4 linked regions of the Notamacropus eugenii genome follow. The main gene of each other region encodes a partner of the protein of the gene in region 2 in a complex. Links are inferred from orthologs where the notes say so. Each region holds a gene or a part of one and is shown on either strand. Other genes may lie near its edges. The genes, in order: HDAC4, YWHAG, CASP2 and CAMKK2.

Region 1 (7,938 bases), about 16 Mb from region 2:
GGCCTTCCACCCTCCACCAGAGCACCCCCTCATCTGCCTCAATAGGTTTTCACCTAGCTAGAGAAGGAGGATGAATCAGAAAGAGGGTAATGGCCTGCTAGGCCAAGCTTATAGCCAGAGATCCTGCTGGGATCTCTCCTCCCAGCCTTTGGAGGGCACTCAGCACACACCCTTAACTTGACAGAGGGGGTGAAGTAAGGCCAGCAAGTGGTAGTGGCGGGGAGACCCCAAGCAAGGTAACAAGGGCAGAGCTGGCAGAAGAAGCCAGACACCCTCACCCCCACCCCAAGTGTCCTGGTTCGTGGATGCTCACTTTGGGGAAAGGATCTGATCTTTAAAACAAAAGCCTAGAACAGAGATCCAAGTCTTTAAAAAGAAAAAAATCGAAGGCATGAAAATACTTCCTTCCCTCCCACACATATTTGAGCTCTCCGGTGCCACCAATTTAGAGGGATGTTATGCATATGATGTATCACAGAACTTTCAGAAAGTCTAATAAAGAGAAAAGGATAGAGACCTTGATGTTCTTTTTGGGGGGCCCCTCTGGCGCCTGGGAGGAGAAGAGAGAGAAAGGCCTACTTCCAGCTTTAGCCTACCCCCAAATCTACAACTGCCAAAAGTTCTGACTGGGTGGCATTTTGCATTTCCAATTATAATCGCGTAAACGTGTTGCCATAGCTACCGCAAAATGCTGCCATAACTTTTGTTGCCTCGTAATTGCCGCGGTGACTATTTGCACACATGCAGCTGAGTTTTCTTCATTCCATCCCACCCCCCCACACACACCCCCATTAAGTTTGAGGCTCAGAAACCACAACAGCGGCTTTGAATCTAAAGCCCCTAAAATAAGGCAGGGAATTATCAGAAACAATTAAAACTCCAGGCAACCGCCTGGGCCCGATCCTATTACAAAAGGGGGTGGGGGAGGCTAGGCTGACAGGCAGGGCTGGCTGGCAGTCTGGTCGGTTTGTTTGTTTACTTCTGCCCAGCCTGTTTTCTTTAAAGGCACTAGGCTTTCAGATGCTTTCGGGGGACTTGTGGTAGGACCAGAAAGGCCATCGGAGGGGCAAGCAGAGGAGATTGAGCCTCCAGCCCAGCCATCACCACCACCGGTAACGGTGATGCTGACAGAGACACACTCCCTACCTAGAACCAGCAGGCATTTTTTTCATTAGGCAATTAGGCTGGTCTCTGTAGTCATGCAATTAAGATTTAGTTAAGAAAGTCATTAGTTTAAAATAACTTAAGTTTAATTTCTACAAAGCTTTATTTGAAAATTGTGTCACAGCAGGTCAATTTCCAGCCACCCAATAAAAGGAACCTTCCTAATCAGAGAGAGAAGTTATTAGAAATTGTTGATGGGCCTTCCTTCCGAGACAGGCCCTTCTGGGGCACACAGAAGGTCTCCAGCTATTCCAGTGGCCAATCAGTCTGCGTACAGAGGAAATAAAAGATAAGTTGCCTCTCATTTCATGTTGTGTTTTTGCAATGCCAGAGGAGTTCTGATAATATAACCCAGCAACATCCCTAGGCTGAGAAAACCATTCCGAATGAAAGCCACCCAGGCCTGCTAGGCAGCCCAACCCTCCTTCCTGGCTGGGAGGGATCTGAGCTGCTTCAAGCCCCAGCCCTCAGTTTCCCGGGCAAGGAGAGGTCCAGCTGCATGATCTCCAGGCCCCCTACAGCGGATCCCGGCCCTGGCACAGGGATGGATTCCGCTGCAGCGACTTCAGCCAGCGGTCGCTCCTTTTTTCCATTCTGACAAAATGAAGCCTCAGAACTGCAGTTTCTTACTGTGGGCTTAGCTCCCCTCCCCATTGCCCCCCACACACACCCGAGACGCATCCAAGCCCGTGGGGTCCCCGCTGCTCAGCCCTCCCCTGGAGGATGGGTCAGTCCTGCTCCAGCCAGGCGCTCACTCCTCTGCAGTCTGGGGCTGGGCGCGAGTGGCGAGGCCTCCCCATTCGCAAGCTCCTTGCTCAGCGCCCCCCCCACGCCCCCCCCACCCCACGCCCAACACACACACACACACACACACACACACACACACACACACACGCCAAACCAAACCGGTTCGGGGAGCCCACGCCAGGCAGCCAGGCACCTATCTCTGTCCTCAATCTGCCCAGGGCTTCAGGCTGGGACTCAGCAGCCCCGCAGCCCCCAGACTCCAGACGTTACGAGAGGGGTGGGCTGGCGCTGGACTGGGGGGGTCCCCAAATCCCACACCAGCGCTGGGGTCACCGATCCCCATCGGGGAGGGGGTTCCCCAGGAGATCGGCCGTTCTGCTCGAAGCGCGGCGGGGGGGCTGGGTGGGGGTCTGGGGCCGCCTCCCCCTTCTCCCCCCCCCAGCAGGATGCTCTCCAACCTGCTGGCGCAGCAGCGGCGCCCTGGAACGAGCCGGGCCGGGCGGGGAGGCAGGGGCTGGGGGAGCTGGCCGAGCCCCGCTGGAAGCCCGGGGGGAGACGCAGCTGGGGGGCGGAGATGACAGGCACGGTGCTGGGGGAGGGGGCAGGGGGATGACAAGTGGGGACCCGCGCCTGGGGGAGGGGGGCAGAGAACCGGGGGCTGGGGGAGGGGGAGGTCTGTGTCCCGGGCCGGGCTCCGTCAGTCCGTCTGCCTGTCTGTCTGTCTGTCTGTCTCGAGGGAGGGACGGCAGCGCGGGGCCCGGGTCGGCGTGGGCACCGGGCGGAGGCGGACAATGGCCCGGGCGGCTGCCCTGCACTTACCGGGGCGGGCTCCGGGGCGGCGGCCGCGGCTCGGGCATCGCCTCCCTCTGGGGCCGCATCTCCCCGGGCGGGCCGGGCCCGGGGCGGCGCTCGGAGCGGCGGCGGCGGCGGCGGCTCCGGGCTCGGAGCGGGCCGGGCCGGGCTGCGGAGGCGGCAGCGGTGGCGGGGCTGGGGCTCTCGGGCACTGGCTCGCTCCCCACCACGGCGGCGACGGCGGCCCCACAACCTCCCTCCTCATTCACAAAAAATTGACCCACGTTGAACCAGGAGGCTCAGGCCCCCCCCACCACGCCGCTCGTCCATAGGCCGCCCGCGCTGTCCATCAGTGGCCACGGCTCCGCCCCCGCCGCCCGCAGCCCGCCACCTATTGGTGTACCTGGGCTTGCGTCACCACCCCCTCGCCGCCCTCCCTCCTCCCGGACTCCTAAGGAAGCGCTCGTCAATTACGGTTCGGCCCCGCCCCTCCAAGGGCACCTCTCCTCCCTCCCATTGGTCGGCTCGAGGAAGGGGGGCACCACCCAGGTCGCTCCCGCCCCTCTCCCGAAAGCCGAAGGACCCGACGCGAAAACGGAGCGCCGGTTAACCCCGCCCCGGAGAGGCACGTTCGGGAGCCGATTGGCTACGGCGGCTGCCCGTCAATAGCGCTGCGCGCCGGCCCCGCCTCTTAGAGCCGACCCGCGGAGCCAGGGTGAGGGGGCGCGCGCGCGCAGGAAAAGCGGGACAGGGCACGTCGGACTGGCCTAGAGACTGGACCCACACCCGGAGCGGGCGCAGGAGGGCGGGGCGAAGGGGCCCAACGGACCAGGAGCTCGAGCTCGGGGAACCGTTAAACCGGCCGCGGCCGCCATCTTGGGGCAGAGCCTGCGGGTCACGTGGCTCGGCCATGCGCGCGGCCCCCCCCCCCCCCCTTGCGTTTGCACGGGGCGGGGAGGGAGGGTGAGTGGGTAAGGGGGAAGTCGGGCGGGCTAGTGGACGGGCGCTGCCCAGTGCGCAAGCGCGGCCCGGCCCTGGGACGCAGGAGCGCCCCCTTCTGGGGTCTCGCCCAGCCTCTCCTCCTCGCTCAGCTGCTCCTGCCCCGGCCCAGAGAGGGTGCTGGACTTGCCCGAGGTCACACAGCGGCGCCAGGTCCGAGAATCCTAGAAGTCTCGGGGTCGGACTGGGCACGCCCCTGCGTGACCCTGTGCGTGACCCTGCGCCTGGGGGATTTTCGAGCCCCCCTAGGCCGGCGCCCCGATTTACACGGAAGGAAACCGAGGCTCCCCCCAGCTGCAGAGGCTTTGAAGGACCTCCGATAACGTCCAGGTGGGGCATGGCAGGCCCCCGGAGGAGGAAAGGGACTTATCCAAGGTCACACAGTGCAGCCCATCAAAAGCACCGCTCAGGCTCCAAAATTTATTAAGCACCTACTGTGTGCTCAGTGCAGATGCAAAGAGAGACCAAGGCCAGCCCTGCCCCCAGGATCCCCCCCTCCAATAGGCAGAAGCTTCAGTCACCTGTATGCAAATTAGATACCCACGGGGAGGGTTAGGAAGGGTTTCCAAGAAAAGGTGAGGCTTGAAGGGAGGGCACTCCAGGCAGAGGTCTCAGCCTGAGGAAAGGCTTGGAGGCTGGAGATGTATGGCCTGGAAAGAGGAACTGAGATCTTGTGGGCTGAAGCAGAGGAACCAAGGTCTTTGACTCCACAACCAGAGATGCCTGGGGAAATTCGGCCAAAAAGCAACCTGCAACTTGAACTGGATTAAGAGTTGCAGCCTTGGCCGCTGGGGAGGCAGTTGTCCTCTTGCCCTCCGACCATCCAGCAGGACAGGGATGAGGCCTGTCCGGCCCAGCTCCTGAAAGCAGAATTGAGACCAACTGAGGCCTTGGGCCCATGAGATCTGGGGAAACTCGATGCCTGAGAGGGCTTTGGTGCCATGGGCCCCCTCCCTGGAGACCTGGAATATTAGACTGGTGACCATTTGTCCTGAAGATTGGGGGGAGGGGGTCTTGAAGGCCTCTTCCAAATTCTGCTGAATTCTGAGCTTCTGAGGAATGCTGGAGGAAGCCAGAAGCCTGGACTACATAGCTCCTCTGTGCCATACACGGCAAAGCCCCTTGGATACCCAGATGAAAAGGATAAGCCCTGCCTGCAGGGAGTTTCCACCAGTTTCTTCATAATGGATTCTCCAGTCAGATACTCTCTATGACAACAACAGTTTAAATTGGTGTAGTTTGGTCAAATGCCTATCTTACTGATACCCTGCCTGCACCTGCTGTTGTCTCCATTCTACATATTTGGAAACTGAGGCACCAAGCCAGGAAGTGAATTATCCAGGGTCACACAGAAAATTAGCGTTCACTTCAAATCCAGCATTCTTTCCAGAGTGAGATGAGGACAGAGACACACTTTTGCCCTGGGTTCATGAATATTTTAATTGCCTTCTGTGACATTCTGGTAGTCTCCTCCAGGTCAGGCTTGAGTCCACACTCCCAGCCCAGCTGAGAGTGCCACTGTGGATTGTAATCTCTGAATCTTTTCTGGGAAGCAGAGTGGATGGGTACTCCGAGAATTGTTCCTGGGCCCCTTTCTCTCAATACTCCCCTCTGTCTCTTGGTGACTTTTCAGCTCCCAAGGGTTCCGTGATCTGCTCAATACAGATAACTCCCAGGCTTCCATGTCTCCCAACATCAGTCCCTCTCCCAAGCTCCCGGGGACCTTCTAAGGCATCTCACATTCAAGGGGCAACACTTGAGACTTCAGATATAAAACATGGAGTTAGAATGAATGGATAAGAAGTGAGGGGATCACCAGGGATAGTGATGACAATGAAATTCCACCCTGCCAGCCTGCCACTTGAGAGCATCACTGTGCTTCAGACAGCCAAGGTCTCCATCCCTCCACTCTAGAGGTTTGGGCTGCTCCTGAGGATCAGTCACCCTCCCTTCCTCCATTGCTTAAGGAAAGGTCTCTGCTGCTGCTAGATACCGCCTCTGCACTCTGAAATGAATCCTCATAGGTAGGCTTGTAGTCATCAACAAGCATTGTTTAAGTACCCACAGTTGTTAGGCACTGTACTGTAAATTCTGGGATTACAAAGAAAGGCCCCCAAAACAGTCCCTGTCCTCAAGGAGCTCACCATCTAATAGGGCTTTGTTTGAGTCTGGCTTTACTATTCTTGCTCAGTCATTAAATTAGGGTTTGATGGGACCCTCCAGATCTAACAAGTCCCTCCTCCAAGCCCTGAAGGAATAATTCCTGGTTGACAGACCAAGAAGACATACACCTAGGCCAAGCCATGACTTGGCTTCTTTGTGGAGTCCTTCGCCCTCAGAAGGCCTTCCTGAGACTGGGGCACATCAACCCTCTGTGGCCAAGCAAAATCACATGAATTCCTCCTCCATGACCCAACCTTTCAGGTGCTCAGAAGCCCACAGCATACCCCACTGAGCTCAGTGTATCAGGAACTCAGATTTGTGTCATCCACAAACCTGCTCTATGCAGGATGATTCACAGAATTGTCGAGAAGGCTAGGCCCATCCAAGGTTGGAGGCCCTTCAGAATTAACATGGCTTTTTTAATTAACAAGGCCTGAAGTCTACTTGTGTACAGTCAGCTTGTCCCACATTCGAGAGGCAGAGTGGTATTCTGTGTTAAGATCTTGGATTCAAATTGTGCACTTAAGGCTTCCTTGATGGTGACCCTGGGCAGGTGACCTCACTTCTCTGAACCTCAGTTTCCTAGGACTCAATGTCCTCCCAGGTGTTGCCCAGTCCTGGAGCTGTGAACTTATGGCGTCATCAGTTATTGAGAACGTTGAAATGAGGTGAAATATAGGGACTTTGCTTCTCAGCTTTGGGGGGCCTCTTGCTCCTCTCTGGATTGTCATGGTCAGCCTCTCTGTGTGTCCTCTCTGTGCTGGAAAGGCTGCCCTCCCTGAGTCCAGGCATTAGAGGAAGAGTAAGTCAGCCAGGGGCATCCTCTACTTTGAAGAGACTTGAATATTCAGAAACAAGACACAACCTAGGTCACAAATCTTCCTTTCTAGGTCTTCAGCAGTAAAATTGAGTCAGCATAAGGGTAGGGGAACACTCTAGACAGAATCTGTCCAATCCAACCCAGACCTTAACAGAAAACCATTCTCCTACACGCCCAACAAGTGGCATCCAGCCTCAACTAGAAAGTTCCCAGCGACAGGAGGCCTCCCTTCAGACACTGACTCCCCCCAGCTCCCACCAGATTTCCTTGTTGGGAAGGGTCTTTACCTCTCCTGCTGAGCTAGCTCTGGCCTCTGCTATGCAAAAGAGTGGGCCTAGGCTGTCAAGGTCAGAGTCCCAACCTTGAGAGTGGAGCCCCAGATTCCCGATTTACTCCCTGTGTGATGTAGGCCCTTAATCAAGTTCTCCTAAATTGGACCCTGCCAGCTTTCAGTCAGTGATCCTGCAGTGGTGTCCTAAAATCTCGTCCACACTCTAGCTTTTTAAATACTTTCCCAGGGCCTCTCTTCTTCAGGCTAGATAAGGAGTAGCATTGACATAGCCCTTTACAAATATTAGCCCCAGCTTTCTCCCAAATTCCAGCACTTTCCCTCTGGCAGGTACTTCCTAATAATCCTGTTTTGTGGGCATTTGTTGCCTGTGGCCTCCTCCATTCCACTGTGAACTCCTGGTGGGCAGGGACTGTCCAGTGACTATATCCCCAGGGCTTACCAAGTGGTGGGTACTTGGTAAGTGCTTAATCATTGTTTATTGACAAGCTGACAAATGTCTTAGAGTCCCACACTTTCTCTTGCCCCACCCCCTTCCCCTAAGCCTTCCTAGCTGAGATGTCTCATAGGTACCAGGTGGCCTACTCCCAGTCTCCTCATTACACAGTGAGTCCCTGGGGGGCTGGAACTGTGCTTGCCTTTTCTTATGTCACCAGTGCTGAGCTCAGTGCCTGGCACACAGTAGGTGCTTAATAAATGTTGGCTATTGTGATGGTGCTGATGGTCATTGCTATTAACCGGCCATTGTACCAGAAAAGAGAGAGCATAGAAAAAGACTCCCACAGAGAAGCAGGATCTGGTGAGTTCTCCAGGGAATGAGATGCTGCCAGCTGGGAGCAGGAAGTCTCTCACCGTTGTGGACCTCTGTCTTGGCTCTTCTTGCCCGACTCTTTTCTGATTTTAAATGAAGGAGGGTTGGAAAAAGAAAGACCTGGAGGCCTTTGAAAGGTTGGAAAAAGGAGCC
Region 2 (7,975 bases):
GTGCCAACTTTGGAAGGTAGGTGCTATTTTCATCCTCATGTTACAAATGAGGAAACTGAGGCAAGAGGTTAAGCGACTTACACGGGGAATCATGGCATTTCCTAGTTTCCTTTAGTCCTAGAAGTTCCATGTTTCCCTCCCCCATTCTAAAGTGTGCTGACAAGTTCCCTGTTTGCTAACTGTAAGTTTACATAGCCACCATTTGTGTCTAAGATGGAATTTGAACTCGGGTTCTAGCCCTGGCTCTCTACCCACTGAGCCATCAAGCTGCCACACTCCTCTAAGGAGGTGAGATTTGAACCCTGGTCTTCCTAAGGCCCTTTCGAGGCTGCTGCTGAATCTACTATATACCTTGTGAATACTTTTCATAAAAACACTCCCCTTAATTCAAGTCCAAATCCTGTGATTTGATTAATGAGCTCTACGACTAGGCCAAAGTACAGGTAATAAACTCACCTATTTGTTCAAGAAAGTTCATTTTTAGGAGAACTTTAAGTTTTTGTTTAAAGCTGAATCCAAGTGTAGTGTAAACATACCAAGAAATTCAAATATTAGCTGCTTACCAATTGTTCTTTGTGTTCCACTGTTTGTCATCCTACAGAATGGCTAGATGTGACATTAAAGATAGAAAGATGATCAGCCCCAATGTACATCTGGAGGTCACTGATTAGTATGTCTAAAGGCAAAGTGATATGGTAAAAATATTCCGGACAGTGGAACAACCCTTCATCCTATCACAAATATCATTTTCTCCAGCAGGGTATATACAATAAAATTTTCAGTCCCACTCGGCTCTTGTATTATATCACATTTCTGCATTACCTTGGCCATGGGCCATTCGAACACTCCCTACCACCCGGGCGCATTGCAGCCTCGGTGCCATTATGTGTGACATCACCATGTTGCTAAGGCAATGAGTGCGAGGTCATAAGCTTTCCTGAAAAACTGCAAATGAGGAAGAATTAGAAGATTCGGAAGACAGCAGTCAAGACAAATCCATTTAAGATCAAGGCCTGTTAAAATGCCCAGGCTAATATACTGCAAAAAGAAGAAACTGAGGTTTGAATGAAAGGTTAAAAGCTATCAATGGTACCGATATTATGTTGAAATACAGGCTAGATAGAGCATCTACCCTCAATTGTAATATAATTCTAGCAGGGAGCTCCTACCCTCCTAATACTCTTTTTAAATGTCTAAACATAAAACGTTTCAGCATGGCCTACTTTAATGATCCAGTTCAACTTACATAGGTGTGACTGAAATCATGATAATACATGGGATCTTCCAATTAAGGAGGATTTATCCTATATACTTGGCTTATTCAGTCATCCAGTTTTTAATTGGTGTATTTTTAATACCTTAGTTATATAACTGTATACCTTTGTTATCTATTTGTCAAGGATACCTGAAAAGAGCCTGCCAAATATTAGAACGGAGGCACTCAAGTCATCCATCAGATCCTGCCATTTCCAGGGTTCCTTTGGTCCCGTTCCAACCCTGCCTCCCTCCCTCCCCCGTTCTCGAGCATGCTGACATGTTGCCCCTCTGATAAATGTAAGGTTACTGAAAAAATGCTGCAATAGAGGCAGACATCTGTGCACCAGACAGGCTGCGACATTTCAAGATCAGCATTTCCTTTTCATCAGCAGGAGGGGACACTCCAGCCTTTTCTTTATTAAAAGGAGAAAAAAAGAGCTCAGACCTGTGTCACGAAACAAATAAAAAAACATTTTCCCCCTTTAAAGCAACCCCTCCCTCCCTCCACCCAGTCTAGCCTCTCTGCAATATGACAAATGCAGAATCTTCTGGAATGACTTGATACTGCCTCCCACGATCGCTTTGTTTGCAAGATCAGATCAGAGAGATGATTTTTTTTTAACTTATAAGGATTTCAATAGATGTATGCCTGCATTTAGAAAAGAAACAGCAAATGTCACAAATTGAACCACTAGGCTTGATGCATAACCTTTATTTTAAGGGGAAATACCGCATGTTTCAATTGACAAGTCTGAGAGGGAAAAAAAAACGGAGATACGTTCGAGACAATGAAAAGAAAATGATAAAACGGTAAAATACTCCCCCCCCAGCCCCCATCCCTCCTCCCCGAAGGCAGGAAGAAGGAAGGGGAAGGAGGTGGGGGCATTTTTAAAGAAGAAACTGAGCAAATAAGAGCCACGCACGGCGATCTCGGAAGGACTGGGTTTTTTTTTAACTGACCCAGGGATTTTTCTGCCCCCCACCCCGACTCCCCCTTCCTGAATTCCTCCGGGGTGGGGGGAGGGGAGGGAGGGGTGGGGGGAGCAGAAAGGAGAAAGCAGGCGCAGGCTGGCGAGTGAATGGGAGAGGCGCCGCCCAGACAGACAGAGAAAGAGGAACCTCCAAAGAGCGACCGCATGGACGCGGCGCCCCCCCCAGCCCCACCCCACCTACTCCCAACGCCCCCCACACTGCAGGGAGGGCACAAAGGGTGACCCCCCCCCCATCTGGCAGCCCAGCAGTGTAAAGGATGGGGATGGAGGCCTCACGCCAGCCATCCGCCCTGTCGCGACACGAGGCCGGGGGGGGGGGGGGCCTATCGCGACAAGGCTCTCGGGCCGCCCGGGCACTGTCGCGACAGAGGGAGGGGGCACTCACGTTCTTCATGGCCGCGGCCATATCGTCGTAGCGCTCCGCCTGCTCGGCCAGCCGGGCTTTCTGCACCAGTTGCTCGCGGTCCACCATCTTCGCGGGGCGGCTCGGGCCGGCTCCTGCGGGGCTGCGGGGCTGCGGGCGGCGGCGGGGAAGGCGCGCGCGGCAGAGGCGGCGGCGACGGCTCAAGCCCGGGCGGCAGGCCGACCAATCACGTCCGCGGGACGGCGGCGGCAGAGGCTGCTCGGGCTCCGGCTCCTGCTGCTGCTGCTGCTCCTGCTGCTGCTGCTCCTCCTGCTGCTGCTGCTGCTGAGGCTCGTGCTGCAAAGGAGGAACCCGGCGCGAGGCGGCTGCGGCTGCTGCGCGTGCCGCGGGAGAACAACCCCCTCCGGCCACGCCCACGGTCCTGACGTCAGCTCGAGGCCCCGCCCCACGACCCCCTTCCCCCCTCCGCCTCCTCGGCCCTCTCCTCGTCCTCTCCCGTCACCGCCTCGTCGCGAGGACCCCTGGGACGTGTAGTTCTGTCCACGGGGAGCGAGATCCTCTGATAACGTCTGGGCTGACGAAGGGAAGACTACACTTCCCAGGAGGCTTTGCGCGGAAATCCCTCGGTCTTTGAAGGAGGGGAGAGGCCGAGGAGAGTGGGGCTTTTAGCAGCAGGGCACTTACACAAGGAGGGAGGGACTTGGGGGAGAGAGCCTGAGCCACAGGGGGCGGGGGTGGGGGTGGGAGCGCCACCTTGGGCGCGCCCCTCTCCCCGGGTTGTACTCGCAACCATGGAGGAGTGGGGGAGGGAGGGCGCGGCGTGCCATGCGTCACCCAGACGGAATGCTGATTCACTGCCTCCGGAGGCTCCGCCCTCTCCTTCTCTGCCCAGCCCCGCCCTTCCCCCCTTCCCAGCCCAGCCCGGCCCGGGCCTGCGCACCTCCCTCCCTTCCTCCTCCCAATCCTGTTCTCTAGGGATGTTGACCCTGGTTGAATGGGGGGTGGGGGTGGGCGCTCTTTTCCTTGTCACCCTCCTGCTCAGTAAGCTCCAGTGGCTCCCTACTACCCCTGGGATCAAATCCAATATCTTCTGCTGGCCTGTAAAAACCCCCCACAACCTGGGACCGAACTTCCTTAACTGCCCCCCTCCTCTTGTTCCCCTCCCCCTCCGATCCCCAGGCCCTTCGGGGCTCAGCCCAAGAACCGTCCACCCTCCTGGATCGGTGTCCTCCCACTTAGCTATTATGGTGATCCCCGGGAGAGTGAGTGGAAGGCCCCTGAGGGCAGGCACTGGGATCCCCAGTAGGACCCTGGACAACCCAGACCCCTAGTCCCTTCTCTCCGTCCCCTGCACCTGGAGCCTGGGATGTTCCTCCACCCCATCCCGGTGTCCTGGACTCTCGCGAGTCCTTCCTTCAGCACCCAGCTCATCACCCCCTTCCACCTGCCTCCAGTGAGATTAAATCCAGTTTAACCTGGCTGGGACCAAGTGAGACCAAATGAGATCTTTCTATTATCTATAGAGATACAATCTACAGATGCAGATAGCCTTACATATCTATAGATATGCAATCTGCAGATAGAGATGCCTTCATTGTGTGTTGTTTGCAAGATAGATATATGAAATATCTAACGGCCTTGATAGACATAGGTGTGTATCTAGATAGATACAAGATAGATATATCCAGATATGGACAGATCTCAATAGACATATATCCTAATAAATACGGACCAATATTAGATAGATCGATGGATCGATCTGGCTACCATTTTTACATTGAGCTACTATATAAAGTTCCATACATTTCACCTGGAAACAATATTCTCATGTCCCTCCTAGCCCTTCCAGTTCCAGTAGCTGACCATTACTAAGGAAGATTTTCGGTTTTTCCTATACAGTGTGGCCAGCACACAGTTGCTTGCCTGCTGTCTCCTCCTGTCCCTCCTGGAAAGCCTGAGTTTTTGCCTTTCTTTATATTTATTGTGCTTAGCACAGCGCCTGGTACATAGTAAAATGCTTAATGTATATTTTACCAATTTGTTGCTTGTGGTGCCTAATAAATGCTTGTTGAATTGGATTGAAATGGCCTGAACAGAATAAAATGCTAAGGTCCATCCCTACTCCTCAACAAAGCTGTCCATGAACATTCTAACACTTTCCTCCATTAAGGACATAGTCTGGTTTTGGTTGGGTACACAATGCACAGAGAGTCACAAAGAACTGAGTACAAGTCCTGACTCTAACACAGGCTATGTCACCCTGGGCAAGTCATTTGATTTCTAAGGGCTGCAGACAACTCTCTAAATTTAGAGGTTGCAGAGAAGGTTCTGGCTTTCATTGACAGAGTTTCCTCACTATAGATTTTAATGAAATCAGAAGTCCAGTGCCTGTCTTCTGGAATGAATCAACATTTCTCTCCATCACAGGTCATGGACTCTGGCCTCATGGTCATTTGGAAAGAGTCCTGGACATAGAGTATGGAGATTCCTGCTCTTGATTGATATCTGTCACTGTGTGACCCGGGGTGAATCACTTATGCTTTGGGGGCCTGGCTTTCTCCCACTACAAAATGAAGGTCGCGTCCAGCTGGAACAATCGATAGGATGGTGATCTCATGCCCAGGGAGAGCATCTAGCTAACAACCTGGCTCTCAGTAGGAAGGAAGGAGGGGCCTGGATGACAGGGCCACAGAGGGCTGCTCCTCACTTCTCTCTACCTTGGTATAAATGGGAAGTGAACTGTGATTCATCAACAAAATGAAACTACTTGAGGCAAAAAGGAAACAGGCATGACCAACTGCCCTACATTGCAACTTTCCTAAGAGAACAGTAAAAACTGTGTGCATGACTCTTAAGCCCTCAGTATTCCAATCCTTATGTAGTCCTCCTGGGACTTTATGGGCCTCCTGGGAATTCAAATGAGGGTACACACACACACACACACACACACACACACACACACACACACACACACACACGACCAAACTATCCACAAGACCAAACTATCACACAGTCCTGAAGAGGACCAGGAGGCCTGTTTCTAAGACCTCAGTTCAATGAATAATGTTAACACACGTTTACTAATGTCTACCGTATAGGGCTACAGAAAAAAACCAATTAATCCCTCTCTTTAAGGAGCTTGCATTTCCCTGGAAGAATACATAATAGAGTCATAGATTTAGAGCGGGAAGGGACCTTAGAGGTTATGAAGCCCAACCCCCTAGTTTTCTAGAGGAGGAAAAGTAGATAAGTAAATGCTCTAGGGTTTGGAGTTCCCTGGTCTTTTTTTCAACTCCAAACCCCTTCTGTTCATGTAGATGATTAAGGATAGAGGTCTGGTGAGGAAGGAACATCCAGAAAACAGTTTAGCTGGGTGAAAGGTTTCTCCTACCTCCCCAGCTAGGTCAAGTCTACAAACATTTATGAACCACCTACTGTGGGCCAAGACCTGTGCTAAGTAGTGGGAATATTTTTTTAAAAATTTAAAAAGACAAAAACCAGTCCTGCTCTTAGTTCAAACTTACTGCAATATTAAACATATTCAAAGAAATACACAGAAAATTCCAGGCAGGCCTTTTTAGCCTAAAAAGTATATGCCCTTGTTCTGCCATCTTGTGTTTGCTTATTTCTATCTGGCTGTCCAAAGGTTTCTGGGCCTGGCTACCATGTTTACATTGGGCTACTACTATATAAAGTTCCATACATTTCACCTGGAAACAATATTCTCATGTCCCTCCTAGTCCTTCCAGTTCCAGTAGCTGACCATTACTAAGGCAGGTTTCCGGTTTTTCCTATCCAGTGTGGCTAGCACACACACATTTCCTGAGGAGGAAGAGGAAGAAGTCCCGCCTGATTATAAGCTGTTTGAGGACAGGGACTTTGTCTCATTCATCTTTTTTTTTCTTTTCAGGGCTAGAAATAGAATGTGGCACCCTGACTCAAGAAGCTTCAGGGCATCCCCATTGTGTTTAAGATGAAATTAAAATTCCTTCTTTGTCACTCTAGCCTGATGATAGCTTGGGTCCAACCTATCTTTCTAGGCTGATTATGTTTTAGTCACTTTCAGTTGAGAAAATTCTTCATGAAGCCGTTTGGGGTTTTCTTGGCAAAGATACTGGAGTGGTTTGCCGTTTCCTTCTCCAGTTCATTTGACAGGTGAGGAAACTGAGACAAACAGGGTGAAGTGACTTGCCCAGGGTCACTCAGCTAATAAGTATCTGAGGTCAAATTTGAACTCAGGTCTTCCTGACTCCAGACCTGGTGCTCTCTCCACTGAACCACTTAGAGACCCTTGATCCCACTTTATTCCCCCTCATGGGTTACATTTTAGCCAAACCAGACAACTTGCTGTTCTCTGTTCACAGCATCCCATCTTCTGCCTTCAGAGTTCATGTAACAGGGATTTCACAGAATATTCAGGGATTCCTGGACTGTTTATGGCCAATCACATGGGGCCAGAAGCAACTAGGTGATAAAGTAATTAGGGACGTGCAGTCAAGAAGACTAGAATTCAAATCCTTCCTCAGACACTTACTGGTTGTGTGACCCTGGGCAAATCACTTAACCTTATTCCTCACTTTCCTTGTCTGTGAGATGATGATGATGATGGTGGTGGTGGTGGTGGTGGTGATAAGACCACCTTACAGGGTTGTTTTGAGGATCAAATGATTTAACATATTAAAGCACTTTGCAGATCCTTAAAATGCCATATAAATACCAGCCGTTATTATTATTGATATGATTATGTATGTGTGACTCAGCAGTGAAAGAATTTGGCACTTTAACATCTCATATCAAATCTTCAGAGGTCCCTTGGTCCTTCCCCTACCTTTGACAACAGAATGGGCATGGATGGTTGTGTCAATTAAAAACTAACTCCCATATGGCAAATAGGTCTGTAGCTAGGTTTCCTGTAAGGAGGTAGGAGGATAGGAGGTCTCTTCCTCCACCCCCAAACCTTTGACCATTCCCACATTGGAGCATGGTACCAAATAGAAAAGCTTCTACCTGAACCTCTGACTGCCTTTCCTGCTTTGGATTTCCTTTCTTAAGTACATGATCAAACATTATTCTCTCTCTCTCTCTCTCTCTCTCTCTCTCTCTCTCTCTCTCTCTCTCTCCCTCTCTGTAAATTTTTAAAAATTTTAAACGTAAATACAAAATAAAAACAGAAAAAAAAACATTGCCATGTACACAGCAGACCATGAAAGAGGTGTCAATATAAAACAATAAATTTATATTTCAAGAAAACCTATATAATAAATACTACATTTTGTTTTCAAAGCTGCCCAGTTTTTCTTTGCCTTCTTGTTGGTTTTCTTTGTTCTCTACTGTGCACTTTTTACTTTATTCTCTTCCCCTC
Region 3 (6,903 bases), on a different chromosome or scaffold from region 2:
AGATGAGGTGGAGGAATAACAGAGGGATGGGACTAACAAAGCCTCAGTTTTGTATATATTTTATTCTGTTTTTATTATGTCTATAAAGAAAATATAGACATGGCCTTTTAAAGAAATCTGTTACCCCAGAATACAACTCCTTCTTACACACTTCAAGGTCTGCATATACAATGCAGTTTGATAGAGGTGTATATATGGCTGGGTGAGGTCTCAGGGTTTAGAGAAATCAGTTTCTTCAAAGGATTCTGCAAAGAGAGGAAAATCTTAAATCTAACGGACATCATTGACTGAGATTGGCAACAGATTTGTTTAAAATGAGCCTAGTAAGAAAATACAGCAACTTTAGACACAGTCTACACAATTTCATGATGAAAACTGTTTTTAAGTGAAAACAGTATCTCTGGTCTAATTAAGCTGATGAAACTTTAACTGGGTTAAAAAGAACTCAATCTCAATGGGAAATGACATTGCAGTAACTGTCAGAATCTGGCAAGAGGGTGACAGGAAAAGACTGTGACAGGAAGTAGTAAATCAATGTTACTAAGTGATAAGGCCATGATATTATAGAAAAACAGATGTCTCAGTTCTATGGGTCTCATTGATACTGCAAACAGCTTAAGAGGGGAGAGACAATATGCAAAAAATTGTGTACAGGTAAGGTATCAGGATAACTAAAGATAATTTTACTTGGAAGGCAATAATACTAACATCTCAAAAATTATCAATATTTTCAGGAAAAAAAATCACACAAACAAGTCACTTCTGCAAAAGAAATTTTGCACAGAACGAACATTATTCATCATCATCCTCAAAGTAACTTGAAGTTCTAGAGTAGACAGACATTTGAAAATGTAGGTTTTCCACAATTACTCACACTGACTTGGAATGTTAAACCATTTATCTTGAGGGAACATAATAATTTCCTAACACCTGAATACTACTGTATCAATTTGGGAAAAGGAGACTGTAACAGGTAACTTATCTACCCCAGAACAGCTCGACCAAAGACCTGCCAACTTATTCTCAAAAGGACTCTTAAAATGAAAGTCTGTTATATGGGAAGACAACATAATGCCATTTATTAATAGAAAGTGAGAGTAAACTGGTAACAAGTTGACAAATGTAGCCAAGGGTCTAGTTCAGAGATATGGATAAACTGGTAAGACAAATGTGTGGGAGGGTATAAAAGCATATGAAGAGGGGTACCAAAAGGTGAGGAAAAAGTACCATGAAAACTCTAATCTGACAGTCCCATATTTGGAATCCCCTCTGCATTGCTCTAATTTTATTCTCCTTAAAGCCCCAGTGGAAGCTTTCCTGTCCTAGGCCATAAATCCCTCAAGGGCAGGAATCAAATCTTATTAGTCTTCATACCACTACCAAATACTAGAGTGTGTTCCACTCATGGTGGGTACACTCAACATTTCTTGACTGGAGGCCAACCTCCTCAGTGAAAACTCCAACTTGGCCTACAGTGATTATACCTTTCTTTGTAATCCTTTAACTCTCAGAATCACAAAATTATAATGCTTGTAGAACTAAGGGAGGGAGCAGGAACTTATTTTCTATACCATCCATTTAGCTACACACTAAATCTCTCAAGAACTAGGCAATTCATGGTTTGCTCAGGTTTAGAAGTGGAATGGCCTTTAAAGCCATCTAGTCCTGGAGAGATGAAATTATCTGTTCCTGGTCACCCAGGCAAAAGTAACAGACCCAGTATTTAAATCCAAAGTTTTGACCTTCCATTGTTTAGCACAGTGGACAGGAAAGTGTCAACTGCCATTTAGATATACTAAAAGTGAACTGATATTCAGAAAAGAAGTGGACATAAAAACAAAAGATATAAAAAAATTTAAAACAAATGACTGGGATATATAAAGAAACGCAACACTAATTATTCGATTTTAATTCAGGGATATCTTCTTTCTTTTGCTCTTCCAGGCAAAATGAATGGCCTGGAACCCTTTTAAGTATAAACAAATATGTAAAAAAAAAACAATTACGTTGGTAATAGAGCACGGGAAACTCAGAGGCCATCTGATCCAAGCCTCAGTCCAGGGGTTTATGACTTGCAAGGTGGGGGCTGGTGCATGAATTATTTTTTTTCCTTTAAAAATATTTAAATAATTGCATTTCAATAGAACTGGTTTCCTTTGCAACACTGTATTTTGTGGCATTATTCTGGGTCTAAGAGATCCATGACACCCTCCCCTTCCTCCCCCCACAGCCAGGTTAGGAGTCCCTGCCTTTTACAGGTCCCTCTCAATTTTTCCTTCGGTACCGGGGGATTCAGGGGGCTCAGACCCCGCCCCCTCCCCGAAGGAGGCTGGGAGCGCTGATGTGTTCCCTCACCACGCCCGGGCCTGGGAGCTCGCTGGCAGGTAGGGGCCGAGCTAGGGGTGGGTGCCCACTACTCCCCCACCTCCCGAGCTTACCCTACGAGGCGCTGGACCCCGGGCCTCAAACACCTGCAACTGTCCCGAAGGATGTGAGCGGATGGAAGTCTGACTCAGTTTCCTCATCTGTAAAACGGAGCCAATAAGAGTCCCTCCCTTCCTCCCGGGGATATCAATGGGACCGTCTGCACAGCTCACCGCACCTAGTAGACGCTTAACAAATGCCTGTTTCCTGCCTACGGGAAAGGGAAGGTGGTAGCTGGTTCCCAGGAGGGGCTTTCTCCGCCCTTAGCGGGCATCAGGCCCTCCCGTGGGGAAGGGGTCGGCGCCCCCTGGGTTGGGGGTCAGGGGTCGGGGGTCAGGCCCCTCCGGCAGCGAGCCGCGGCCAAGGTTCGGGGTTCCCCGCCGGGCCTGGAGAAGCAGGCCCGACTCGGGCTGCCCGGGCTGCTCGGACTGACGCGGGCTCCACTCACCTGCGCCCCCCGTCCACAGCCGTCGACCCCCTTCGGCCGAGGCCTGGGCGGGCTCCTGCGCGCGCCTCCGCCATTTCCCGCCTTTCTCAGCCCGGGCGAGAGCCGCCCACTCCACAAACAAATGAAACGCCCCCTCGGGTCCCACGCTCCCGCCCCCGACGCTTTCTTTAGCTCCTCCCTCCTCCTTCGCGATGCTGAACGCGCCTGCGCGCGGCCATTTCCACCTCAGTCCCGGGACCAAACCTTTAGCTACAGCACTCTAGCCGCCACGGGGAGGCGTGCGCAGGCGCAGAGCTCCCCGCTCCGGAGCTTTCGACCTCCCCCCGGAAGAAGATGCAGAAGAGGCGGGGAAAGACGGAGACGACGTGCTCGCTCCCCACGTCGGGATTGGATTGGTCGTAGATTCCCGCGGAAACTGACGTATTTGCCCGCCCATTCTAAGACCCCACCCACCACCTCCCTTCCTTTAAACAACCCTTTTTTTTTTTAAAGTAACAGCCAGCGGAAGTAGGCTTAATGAACTCCTAGAACCTCACTCCCCCCCCTCCACTCTCACTTTCCCGAGGTGGAAACTGAGGCTCAGAGACAGCTTTGATTGACCCAAGGTCATGCCGGTTCAAAAGTAGCAGACCTTGACCTTGAATCCAGGTTCCTGGGCTACCGGGTCCCTGGGCTGTTTTAATGGCCGAGCAGGCCCTTATCTCATTTCCGATCTCAGGGCAACCAAAGAAAGAATGAAGTTCCAGGGTGTGTTGAAAGCCGTTTATTTAATTTTCAGTGTGATCCTTTAAACCCCAGAAATGTGCAAACATGACAAATAAGGGCTTGATTTATTGTTTTGTTAATTGTTCAGATTTAAATTTTGTTGTGATTTTGGAGAGTCGGTCGTTAAACATTTATCTGCCTCCCACTCGCCTCGAGTTAGAAGAGGGTTATGTAACTTGAAACAGAAAAACAATTTGACTCGTTAGGAGGACAGACAGAGGGTAGCAGAGGGAGACAGCCCGGCACCCTGAGCCCAGGAGTGTGCCCCGAACCATCAGACCTACTTTCTACCCACCCTTCACAGCCATCGCTGAAAAATCTTAGTGAAGGGAGGGCCCACCTTCCTCATCACCACCAGCAACCATAATCAGATAGGCACAGAAGCTCTGAGATTGGCCACACCTCCCAGCCCGCTGGTCCTGCCTGCTTCCAGCCCAGCCCTGCCAGCCATCATCTGCAAGAGAGGGGTCCTGCCAATCAATTCCAGGGCTCACACAGGGCAGAGATGGTCGGACAGCCCAGGACCCTGAACCCAAGAGACTTAGGGATAGAAATGCTTCCAACCCAGTACCCTCGTCCAGCATCTAGGGAGAGGCAACCTGGCCTACAGGTACTACAGTCATCCAGAAAAGAAAGTTTTTGTCCTCAAAGTCCTTGGCACTGTCAAATGGTTCAGCATCAGAAATTGATAACATTTTATAGTGACATTAGAGAAGAAGTATCTGCTTTGCTACTGCTGTACCCTTGAGGACCTTGGGACTTTTCCATCTTTTGTATTTGCAGCTAGACTCTTTCATATATGCTGTTTTTCTCATTAGAATGTGAATTCCTTGAAAGCAGGGATTCTCTCTCTTTTTCTAAAAATTTGTATCCCCAGAACTGAGCAAAGTGCTTTGTACTAGTAAATACTTCATGAAAGCTTTGTTCATTCATTCAATTAACTTGCCTAATATCAAATTGGTGCCAGAGTCTGGATTAGAATCCAGGTTTCCTCACTCCCAGTCAGGTGCTCTTTTGGATACAAAATGCTGTGCTTTGGCTTGGCTTCTTGATCCCCACAGTAAAGGTCTTATGGATCTTCTAATTCCTGAACCAAGTTTACCTGGCCAGGACCTTAACAGAACTCTCCCTGGAAATAATACGAATAACAATAATAATTGTTCATACCTATGTAGCAATTAGCAGTTTCCTTTCACCTAAATTCAGATATATACTCATCATCAGATGAGTTCCCTATTTCTGTCAGATACCACCATCCTTCCAATATTTCAGGTTCATAATCTCAGCACTATCCTGGACTCCTAACATCTTTTTACCCCAAATATCCAAGCATTTGCCAAATCTTAACCATTTCTACCTCTGCAGCATCTCTATAATGGCAACACATCTCCTTAATATCAACATATTACTCCCCTTTCTGTGCTCATGAGGAGGTGAAACCAGGCTTCTCTGTTTCTCACTCACAACGCTCCATGTCACTCACTTCTCTGTGCCTTATCACTGGCTGTTCCCCATGCTTGGAATGTATTCCCCATTTACCCATACCTCATAATTCTTCTTTTTCCTTTAAGTATCTCAGGCATCATCTTCTTCACGAAATCTTTCCTGATACTCCCAACTGTTAGTGCCCTCCTTTCCAAATTACCTTGTATTTTTCTAATGTATGTGTGTGTACAGCTATATCTATATATACATACATCTGTATTTACACACATGTATATTATGTTACATGTGTATGTATGTTATGTATATATACATTTGTTAACTTTATGCTGTACGTATTTTTATATATACTCTCTTCATTAATAAACTCCTTGTAAGGAGGGAGTGTTTTGAACCTGATACTTGTATCATCAGTGCCTAGTACAGTGCTACATAGTAGTCAGTTATTAAATATTTGATTGATTGAGTGGGAGGACAGCAAAATAATTAAATCATGAATTGTTGCACTTTACAAAGCACTTTATAGGTTTCCTTATTTGATCTTGACAACATTTTGAATTTGTTGACACAACTGTTATTCTGATTTTAAGAATGAGGAATCTAAGGCTTTTGAGGTTGAGGCTAGAGCTGAATTTAATAAGATGACATTTAATAGGGTTAAATATAGAGTTCTACTCATGAGTACAAAAAAATCAAATAAGGAAGAAGTTAGGATTGTGTATAAAAAAAATGTAGAGGTCCTAGAAGTTAATAAATTCTATGAGTCAACAGTGTGACACAAAAGTCAGGAAAGTTAATGAAAACTTAGATTAAATGAATAGAAGTAGGGAGGTCAGAACACCCTGCTTAATTCACATCCGGAGTATTATGTTCAGTTCTGAGGACAAGATTTTACGACTGTCTTTTGACAAACGGTGCAAAGAATAAATAGCAATGATGAGAAGATGGGAGAACATTCTAAATGAGTATCAACTGAAGAAATAAATAGTGTTTAGTCTGGGGAAAAAAAGACTCAGGGAGAGAGAACATGATGGCAAGCTAGTCTGTGATTGGGTTATAAGGAGGAGGAATTAGACTCTGATTGGCTACAAAGCAAAGCAAGAAACAATAGGTGGAAGTTTGAGAGAGGCAGTTTTTGGCTCAGTGGGAGGAAGAACTTTGTAAACCATAAGAACTGTTCCAAAGTGGAAAAGGCTGCTTCAGGAGGTGGTGGATTCCCCTTCACTGGAAGTCCTCAAGGAGAGGTTGAATGACTTCTTGCCAGGAATGTCAGAGAAAGGATTCCTACTCAGATAAAGTCAGACTAGCTTACCTCTATAGTCTCTTTAACTTCAAAGTTTGGTTATTGAGTGACTTGTCCAAGGTTACAACTAGTGATAAGAGTTGGGTTTTTAAATACAGTTCCTCCATCTTCTTGTGAAATTAGGATGGCAAGAGCAACACAGAAACCCCCCATTTCCCCTTCTCTGTGGTTTTACCAGTCCACCCCCGTCATTACAGGATTAAAATGGGGAAGCCATTTAGACCCTGTCACTGTGGGCACAAAGCATGGACACAAAATAGAGGTGCCAGTCATATCATATGTCTGGGAGAGGAATTGCACCTTGATGGCCTCTTCCTCTTGCCAGGTACCAATGCCTGCTCAGGATATCCAGGTAAAGAAGATCACTAATGGGGAAATCTTTTATGTTCAGGGAACACAGCTTTAGGGAGGCATCCAGCCCTCTTCATAGAATACATCATCATCATTGATATCTTGGTAATTAGGTCTGAACTCATATGCTGGGGGTGGGGTGAGAGGTTCCAAAGGTGGCAGACTTTGC
Region 4 (7,650 bases), on a different chromosome or scaffold from region 2:
TATTATTTTAGTAATGTCTTTCAGGTTTGCAGAGCTCTCTCTCTCACTCTCCTCAATCCTTCATAATCTGGCTTGGGACCCCATCACTCATCTGAAAACTTCCAGCCCTGAAATGACCAGTTATTATTTTTTGATAATTTATTTTTCACTTTTTTTCTTTTGAGATTCTGGGTTCCCAATTCTCTCCCTCTCCCACCCTTCCCATACCCACAGAGAAGGCAAGCAATACAATATCAATTATACATGTGAAACCATTCAAAATATATTTCCATATAAACTCTATTTTAAAAAAAGCAAGAAAAATAAGGAAGTGAGAAAATTATATTTCAGTTTACCCTCAGAGTTCATCAGTTCTCTCTCTGGAGGTGGATAGCATTTTTTCATCATGAATCCTTCCAAATTGTCCTGGATCATTGTACTGCTCAGAGTAGCCAAGTCTTTCACAATTGATCATTATTGCAACCTTGTTGTTACTGTACACAATGAGCTCTCAATTCTTCTCACTTCCAGTTGCATCAATTTATACAAGTCTTGCTATGTATTTTCTGAACCTCCCCCTGCCCCTTATCATTTCCCACAGCACAACAGTTCTCCATTCCAATCATACACCACATCTTCGTCAGCCATTCCCCAATGGGTGGGCATCCCCTCAATTTCCAATTCCTTGCCACCACAAAAAGAGCTGCTATAAATATTTTTATACATGTGGGTCCTTTTCCTACTTCTTTGATCTCTCTGGGATACGGACCTAGTAGTGATATTGCTGGATCGAAGAGTATGCAGTTTTATAGCCCTTTGGGCATAGTTCCAAGTTGTTCTCCAGAATGGTTGGATCAGTTCACTAGTCCACCAATAGTTCATTAGTGTTCCAGTTTTTCCCACTTTCCCTCCAGCAGTTGTCATTTCTGATAGGTGTAAGTAAACACTTGTACCTCAGAGTGGTTTTAATTTGCATTTCTCTAATCTGTAATGATTTAGAGCAGGGGTGGGGAACTCGGAGCCTTAAAGTGGATCAAAAATCAATAGGATTTGTTTGGTAAAATTTGTATTCAGTCAAAGAGCTACAATTAAATATTTAGAAGGCCACATGTGGCCTTAAGGCAGGTTTCCCACCCCTGATTTAGAGCATTTTTTTGTATGACTATAGATAGCTTTGATTTCTTCTTCTGAAAACTCCCTGTTTATATCCTTTGGCCATTTATCAATTCAGGAACAGCACTTTTTTTTAAAACATTTTTCTCTAATTAGATGAAAAAATAATTTTTAACATTTAAAAAATTTTTTTGAATTCCAAATTCTCTCCCTCCTCCTCCAAGATGGTAGGTAACCTGATATAGATTATACATGAATGATACTTATTTTTATAAATTTTACTCAGTACTATATTCATAATATATTTGAGAAATGAGGTCTTTATCAGAGAAACTTACTGCAAAAAATTTAATATTACTTCATTGTCAAGAGTACCTTTTAGCAAAACATAGTTTCCCTGATTATCCCTTGTAACTAGATATGCTTTTGCTTTTGCTTTGTCTGAGGTCAGGATTACAACCCCTGACTTTTTTTTTTTTTTTAGTTCAGCTGAAGCATATTAGATTCTGCTTTAGCCCATTATTTTAACTCTGTCTTTCTGTTTCAAGTATGTCTCTTGCAAACAACATATTGTTGGATTATGGTTTCTTATCCATTTTTATCTACTTTATTTTTTATCTTCCATTTTATGGTTGCGCTCATCCCATTCACATTCACAATTAGGATGACTACTTGTGTATTTCCTCCATCCCATTTTCTTCTGTTTCTTCTTTTCTGTCTTTTTATCTTTTTTATCATCAGAAGTCTATTTTGCTTCTCCCTTAGTCTGCTCTCCCTTTTATCATCTCCTGTCCCCCTTTATCTCATTCTCTTCCCATCTTTGAACCAATTCTGATGACAATGAGGTTCAAGCATTGCCTGCCATTTTCTCTTCCACTGTAGTAGCTCTTTCTGGTGCACCTTTTCAGGTGAGAAATTTTTCCCCATTCTACCTTTCTCTGCCTCCTTTTCCTAGTGCATCTCTCTCATCCCTTCATTTTTTTTGGAGCTCATAATCGACTCACTTCTATACTGTCTATGTAAACTCCTTTTAATTACCCTAATAATGATAAAGTACATATATTATCTTCCTGTATAGGAATGTAAAGAGTTAAACTTTATTGAGTCCCTTATGATTTCTCTTTCATGTTTACTTATTTATTCTCATTTTCTCTTTGAATGTCAAATTTTCTACTCAGCTCTGGTCTTTTCATCAGGAATGCTTGAAAGTCCTCTATTTCATTAAATATCCATTCCCCCCCCCCCCCCAAGGATTATATTCAGTTTTACTGTGGTTGTAATCCTATCTCCTTTGCCTTCTGGAATATCATATTCCAAGCCATCCACTCCTTTAATATGGAAGCTGCTAAATGTTGTTATCCTGACTGTGGCTCCACGGTATTCGACTCTTTGAAGTATTTTTCTCCTTGATCTGGGAGATCTGGAATTTGGCTATAATATTCCCGGGAGTTTTCATTTTGGGATCTCTTTCAGGAGGTGCCTGGTGCATTCTTTCCATTTCTATTTTACCCTCTAGTTTTAGAATATCAGGGCAGTTTTCCTTGATACTTTTTAGCCACTGGAGTTTATTGAGTGTGTGTATGCATGTGTGTGTGTGAGACAGGCACAGAACTCATCTTTTCCCTCAAACTGTCCCCTCAATAGCCAACAATAGTCAATAAACATTTATTAATGTTTAACTACAATTAACTACAATGTGGCAGTCATTGTGCTAAGGGCTGGGGCTACAAATAGCCCCCCCCCCAAAAGTCTCTGCCTTCAAGGAGTTTACAGTCTCATGGGAGAAGATCATATCCTAAAGGAAACTGAAAAGTGAGAAGAGGTAAGTAAGGTTGGAGGGAGGGTCAAAGAAGTCCTAAAGGAGAGCAACCAGGTGGGAAATGAGGTGCTTGTGCTGAGTTCTTTATTAATTGGAGATTTTGGAGTTCATGGCTCTACCCTCCAATAAGTGGGGCAAAAGGTTGTTGCCTTACCCCATTAGATAGGAAGCGCCTTGAGAAAGCAGGGATTGTCTTTCTTTTTTCGTATTTGTACCCCAGTGGGGGGACATGTAGGTGGGTACAGTGGGTAGTAGGGCACCAGGCCTGGAGTCGGGAAGACCTGAGTTCAAATGCAGACACTGAGTTCAAATCAGACACTGAACCAGCTGTGTGACCCTCGGCAAGTCACTTCACCCTGTTCGCCTCAGTTTCCTCATCTGTCTAATGAGCGGGAAAAGGCAAAGGCAAGTGACTTTAGTCTCTTTGCCAAGAAAACTTCAAATGGGGTCATGGACAGTCAGACACGACTAAGCTACGACAATTCCTAGTGGGAAGGCTGAGGGGTGACTACCAAGGCTTTCTACCAAACTTTGCTACTTCTGTGGAAGCCACCCTCAGTCTCCCAACGAGCCAGGTTCCTTACCTAGGTATTATGCTCCACTTCTCATTCACCTTCGTGCTGACACACGCAATCAGAGGCCAGGTCTTGCCTTTTCTTTTACCTCCCACTGCGTCTCTCTACCCACGGAGCTACCACCTTAGTTCACGGCCTCAACACCTAGACTACCGCAGCAGCCTCCGAAAAGGCATCTCCCCACTCCAGTTCCTTCCACGCCGCTGCCAAAGTAATCTGCCTTTGGACTGACCACCCGACTCGTCCACTTAACACCGGTGACTTCCTGTTTCTAGGCTGAAATAGAAAGCTTTCTGTTTAGCTTTCAGAGTCCTTCCCCACGTGACCTGAGCTGGTCTTTCTCGGCCGGCTTGTACCTAGGGATGAGAAAGGGGGGCTTCCCGGAGCTTTCCCAGCCTCGGGGCTGGCTCCCAAGGATGGGGATGCTTGGTATGGGATAACTCCCTTTCTCCTCCAATGGGCGTCTAACTTCGCCTACTTACTAGCCACTCCCGGGCACTCCTGCCCAGTTAAGTTCTGGCTGCTAGGCAGAAGTGAGGAACAGCATCCCGGAGGCTGGAGCTCTTTGCCTCGGTTTCCCCGGATTTCCCCCTCCCCACTGCTTCCTAGCAGTGGCTCCCACATTTCCCTGAAGCAGTTTGCAAGCGTCCCATTTGGTGGGGATCTGTGTGTGTGTGTGTGTGTGTGTGTGTGTGTGTGTGGCATCTGTTTTCTTCTTTCTAAGTGGGAGGTGGCCCGCGGGACAGGAAAAGCAGAGGTATTACGGGCGGGGTGGTGGTGGGGGCTGGGGATCTGGGTTCTCGGCTCTGTCCGCTGGGTGAACTTGGCGCGAGCGGCTTCCCCGGATTTGCCCAATGAGACTAATGCCCTCGAGCCAGCGGGCAGGTGGCAGATCGCTGGAGAGAGGCGCCCAGGCGGGAGAGGGAGGGTGGCACCGTCCGTCCCCGCCATCCATCCCTCACATCCTCCCGGGCCCTCCCCGTCCTGTGGCCGCGGGCCCCGAGAAGCCAATGGGGAGCCGGCGTACAGCGGCGCACATCTGGGCCACTGAGCTGGGCGCCGGGCGGCCAATCCCCGGACCCGGCGGCTCGTTCCTCCTCCTCCTCCACCTCCTCCTCCTCGTCCTCCTCCCTCCCTGGCGCGGAGAGGCCGGGTTGCAGCCAATCGGCGCCGCCGCCCGCGCCGGCCCGGCCACCCCAGCCCCGCCAGCCAGAAGCCCGGCCGCCGCCGCAGCGGCAGCCCCAGCCCCGGGGCGCAGGACCCCGGACAGCCCCGCCAGCCGCGCGTGGGACCCAGCGCCGGGTGAGGACGGGAGGGCTCCCAGCGCACGGGGAGGGGCCGGGGCGGGGGGCAGCCAGCTCGGGGTGGTCCCTGTCCTTCCCGGAGGGATGCTCGGAGCCCGAGCCGGCGCAGACAAAGGGGTGAGGCCCGAGAGGGCCGAGGTGGGGCGCCTCCACGTGGGGGCCCCCACCCCGTGCTCGGTCACGGTCACGGCCGAGGGGGCAGCCGGCTGGAGCTGCGGCGCTCCGCGACGCCGGGGGTGGGGAGGCAGGGTGGGTAGAGGTGCCCGCCGCCCTAAGTTCGCCAGGCCCCCGGTGGCCCCGCCGACTCTGGTCGTTCAAGGTCCATCCCTCCCCGCCTCGGCCTCAGCCCCTCCCTCCAGTGCGTACCCAGGCTTGGCCAGCAGGGGTCCCGGGTCCTGGGCAGCCCGGGAGTCTGGCCAGGGGACAGCCCGCCTGCCTACCTCCCGCTGGTATCACTTCCTGAACAGCGGGGCTGGGACCCAGCACCCAGAACCCAGGGGCACAGGCACGGCGAAGCAGGAGCCCTCTGTCCTGAGCCCTGGCCTCTCCCCATTTGGAGTCGAGGGCACCTCCGAACCGGCCCTACTGGCCAGGATGTTCCCCTTCACTGACAGTTTGTTTTAAAAGCTCAGATGCCACCCTGCCATGGGGAGAAGGACCTTTTCTTGAAGGCTCTAAGATAGCCAGGCAACTTCCCGAGCCAGTCCTGATAGTGGGGCAGAGGTTTGGGATCGGGTCCATCTTTTGTCAGCCCCTCCCGGCTCCCTCCCCGGTGTCCTGGGCCCTGGAAGCCTTTCCTAGTTTCTCCCCCTCCCGCCCCCTTCTGTCCTCATCTTAGCAGCTGGGTGTTTTCACAGTTCCACCAACTTCCTCGCGGTTCTCACCTGTCTCCCGGCCAGCCACACCTCCTGCTTCTGTCTCTCTTTCCTAGCCTCAGGCCCCCACCAAAGTCAAGAGAGGTGGGCGCTTTAGGTCAGACGCTCAATAGAAGGCAGAGGTACAGCCCTGAAGCCTCGGTTCCCTCCTTTATATATAATGGATAGATGGGTCTTGGAAAAACAGAATGTTTAGCCATTCACCTCCTGGATACCGAACTTTCCCCTCCTGGCTATCTCACTTGTTTCTAGGGATGCTGGAGGAGAGCTGGGTAGACAAAAGAAATGTTCCTAGAGGGTGGACTGGGTGGGGGTGGAATATCCCTTTTCCCATGGAACTGTTATTTTACTTTGGACATTCCTCATCTTAGGTGGGAAGGCACTCAATGACTGGGTCAGAGTCCTTGCCCCATCATTCTTTTTGCCTAATTTGGGAAGGTAAATTTACTTACTTATTAGTTATCAAGGTGATCTACAGACCGTTTAGGGGTGGGCGGGGAGGGATCTAAAGGTGAGCCTCAATCTCAGGGAATTTACCCTCTAGATGGAAGGCATACAAGTGCAGTATTTTAATACTTAGGGTTCTAGAGATGCCTTATGAGGGTGGAGAAGGTGATGCAGGGGAGTAGAGTGGGCTCTGGGCCTTGGAGGCAAAGGCCCTGAGTTTCAGCCCTAGGTCCATTGCTAGCTGTCAGTCACCTTGTCACTTAAATATACTAAGTCACTTAAGTATGCTAAGCTAGTTTTCTTCATCTCTTTTTGGATACTTTTAAGGGTCTGTGAGATCCTGAGTATGGTTCTGGCGTGGATTTAAATCCTTCCTTTCCTTCTTGGGTGACTCTTGTCTGTGTTCCCTGCTCTGGAGACCTTAGGGTCATAGACACGGAGATTTAATGCTGGAAAGGGGTTCAAGCCCTTCCTTTTGGAAGTGAGGAAACATTTTTTTCTCCTGGTGCTGCTCTGGTTTCTCTTTTTCTTTCTTCTCATCTGTAAAATGAAGGCAATTAAACTTGTAGCTCTGGGCTTGTGGTGGGGGAAGTGCTTTGGATTAGCGTGTGGTGCTGTCACTTTCTGACTTCTCTGCCCACACAGCCACCATCCTAGTTAAGGCTCCCATTACCACGCTAGCGCAGTGGCCTCCTCACTAGTCTGCCTGCCTTCGCTCTCTTTCCTTTCCAGTCGAGGCCCAAGCCAGACTGTGAAGGTCTTTAGATGCCAAATGGAGGAGTTTGAATTTGGTCCTAGAGGAAATAGGGAGTCACTGGAGTTTCTTGGGCAGGGATAGACCATGGTTAGACCTGTGTTTAGTGAGACCTCTTAAGTGGTACTTATGTGGTACTCTCTCCTGTCCATTATCCCTGTTTAGCATTAATAGTAATTATGCTAACGATAATAGCTAGCATTTATACAAGAGCAGCTAGATGACACAGTGGTTAGAGCACTGGACCTGGAGTCAGGAAGACTCCTCTTCCTGAGTTCAAATCCAGCCTCAGACACTTACTAGCTTGATGACCCTGGGCAAGTCACTTCACCCTCTTTGCCTCAGTTTCCTCATCTGTAAAATGAGCTGCCAAAGGAAATGGCAGGTCACTGTAGTGTATCTGCCAAGAAAACCCCAAATGGGGTCATGAAGAGTCAGACATGACTGAAAAATGACAACAAAAACAAACATTTTTGTCGTGTTTTACATATGTTATTTCATTGGGTTCTCATAATAATCCTGTGAGCTACATACTGTTAATATATCTGTTTCACAGATGAGGAAACTGAGACTGAGAAAAGTTAAGTGACTTGCCCAGGGTCAAACAGATAGTATTTATTCTTAATCTTCTTTTCACATCTTCCCCCTCCCCTGTCAACTGGAATCCCTAATATCCTTCAAATCTCAGCTTGTCTCACCTCCTGCATGAGGCCTGTCCATAATTTCCTCCCACCCCAAATTACTCTGTATTATTGACTTTCCTGTACATATTCGCCCCAACAGA

What was found.
Region 1: the proteins of YWHAG (region 2) and HDAC4 are in contact, whole or in part, in a crystal structure (PDB 3UZD), measured with the Homo sapiens proteins. The link is inferred for Notamacropus eugenii from reciprocal best matches to the Homo sapiens genes YWHAG and HDAC4. Residues at the interface, in NP_036611.2 of Homo sapiens: Asn43, Leu44, Ser46, Val47, Lys50, Asn51, Arg57, Phe122, Lys125, Arg132, Tyr133, Gly174, Leu177, Asn178, Val181, Glu185, Leu221, Ile222, Leu225, Asn229, Trp233; in NP_001365345.1 of Homo sapiens: Ser348, Pro349, Ser350, Leu351, Pro352, Asn353, Ile354, Leu356.
Region 3: the proteins of YWHAG (region 2) and CASP2 are in contact, whole or in part, in a crystal structure (PDB 6S9K), measured with the Homo sapiens proteins. The link is inferred for Notamacropus eugenii from reciprocal best matches to the Homo sapiens genes YWHAG and CASP2. Residues at the interface, in NP_036611.2 of Homo sapiens: Glu15, Asn43, Val47, Arg57, Arg61, Lys125, Arg132, Tyr133, Pro170, Gly174, Leu177, Asn178, Val181, Glu185, Glu213, Asp214, Lys217, Asp218, Leu221, Ile222, Leu225, Asn229, Leu232, Trp233; in NP_116764.2 of Homo sapiens: Asp137, Leu138, Ser139, Leu140, Pro141, Phe142, Pro143, Val144, Cys145, Glu146, Leu150, Lys152, Lys153, Leu154, Ser157.
Region 4: the proteins of YWHAG (region 2) and CAMKK2 are in contact, whole or in part, in a crystal structure (PDB 6Y6B), measured with the Homo sapiens proteins. The link is inferred for Notamacropus eugenii from reciprocal best matches to the Homo sapiens genes YWHAG and CAMKK2. Residues at the interface, in NP_036611.2 of Homo sapiens: Ser46, Val47, Lys50, Asn51, Arg57, Arg132, Tyr133, Gly174, Leu177, Asn178, Val181, Glu185, Ile222, Leu225, Asn229, Trp233; in NP_001257414.1 of Homo sapiens: Leu99, Ser100, Leu101, Gln102, Glu103, Arg104.

Annotation. Positions count from the first base shown.
Region 1 is NC_092873.1:67,091,882-67,099,819, forward strand, and holds the start of HDAC4 (histone deacetylase 4), read right to left. Parts: upstream 3,006-7,938; 5' UTR 2,731-3,005; intron 1-2,730. UniProt on the Homo sapiens protein: Responsible for the deacetylation of lysine residues on the N-terminal part of the core histones (H2A, H2B, H3 and H4).
Region 2 is NC_092873.1:51,333,323-51,341,297, forward strand, and holds the start of YWHAG (14-3-3 protein gamma), read right to left. Parts: upstream 3,010-7,975; 5' UTR 2,722-3,009; coding exon 2,635-2,721; intron 1-2,634. UniProt on the Homo sapiens protein: Adapter protein implicated in the regulation of a large spectrum of both general and specialized signaling pathways. Binds to a large number of partners, usually by recognition of a phosphoserine or phosphothreonine motif.
Region 3 is NC_092874.1:105,043,431-105,050,333, forward strand, and holds the start of CASP2 (caspase-2), read right to left. Parts: upstream 3,011-6,903; 5' UTR 2,947-3,010; coding exon 2,873-2,946; intron 2,859-2,872; exon of another isoform or gene 2,526-2,858; coding exon of another isoform or gene 2,439-2,525; intron 2,111-2,438; exon of another isoform or gene 2,007-2,110; intron 1-2,006. Other genes in the region: TMEM139 (transmembrane protein 139), read right to left, coding at 6,786-6,903. UniProt on the Homo sapiens protein: Is a regulator of the cascade of caspases responsible for apoptosis execution. Might function by either activating some proteins required for cell death or inactivating proteins necessary for cell survival.
Region 4 is NC_092875.1:36,536,021-36,543,670, reverse strand, and holds the start of CAMKK2 (calcium/calmodulin-dependent protein kinase kinase 2), read left to right. Parts: upstream 1-4,644; 5' UTR 4,645-4,788; intron 4,789-7,650. UniProt on the Homo sapiens protein: Calcium/calmodulin-dependent protein kinase belonging to a proposed calcium-triggered signaling cascade involved in a number of cellular processes. Isoform 1, isoform 2 and isoform 3 phosphorylate CAMK1 and CAMK4. Isoform 3 phosphorylates CAMK1D.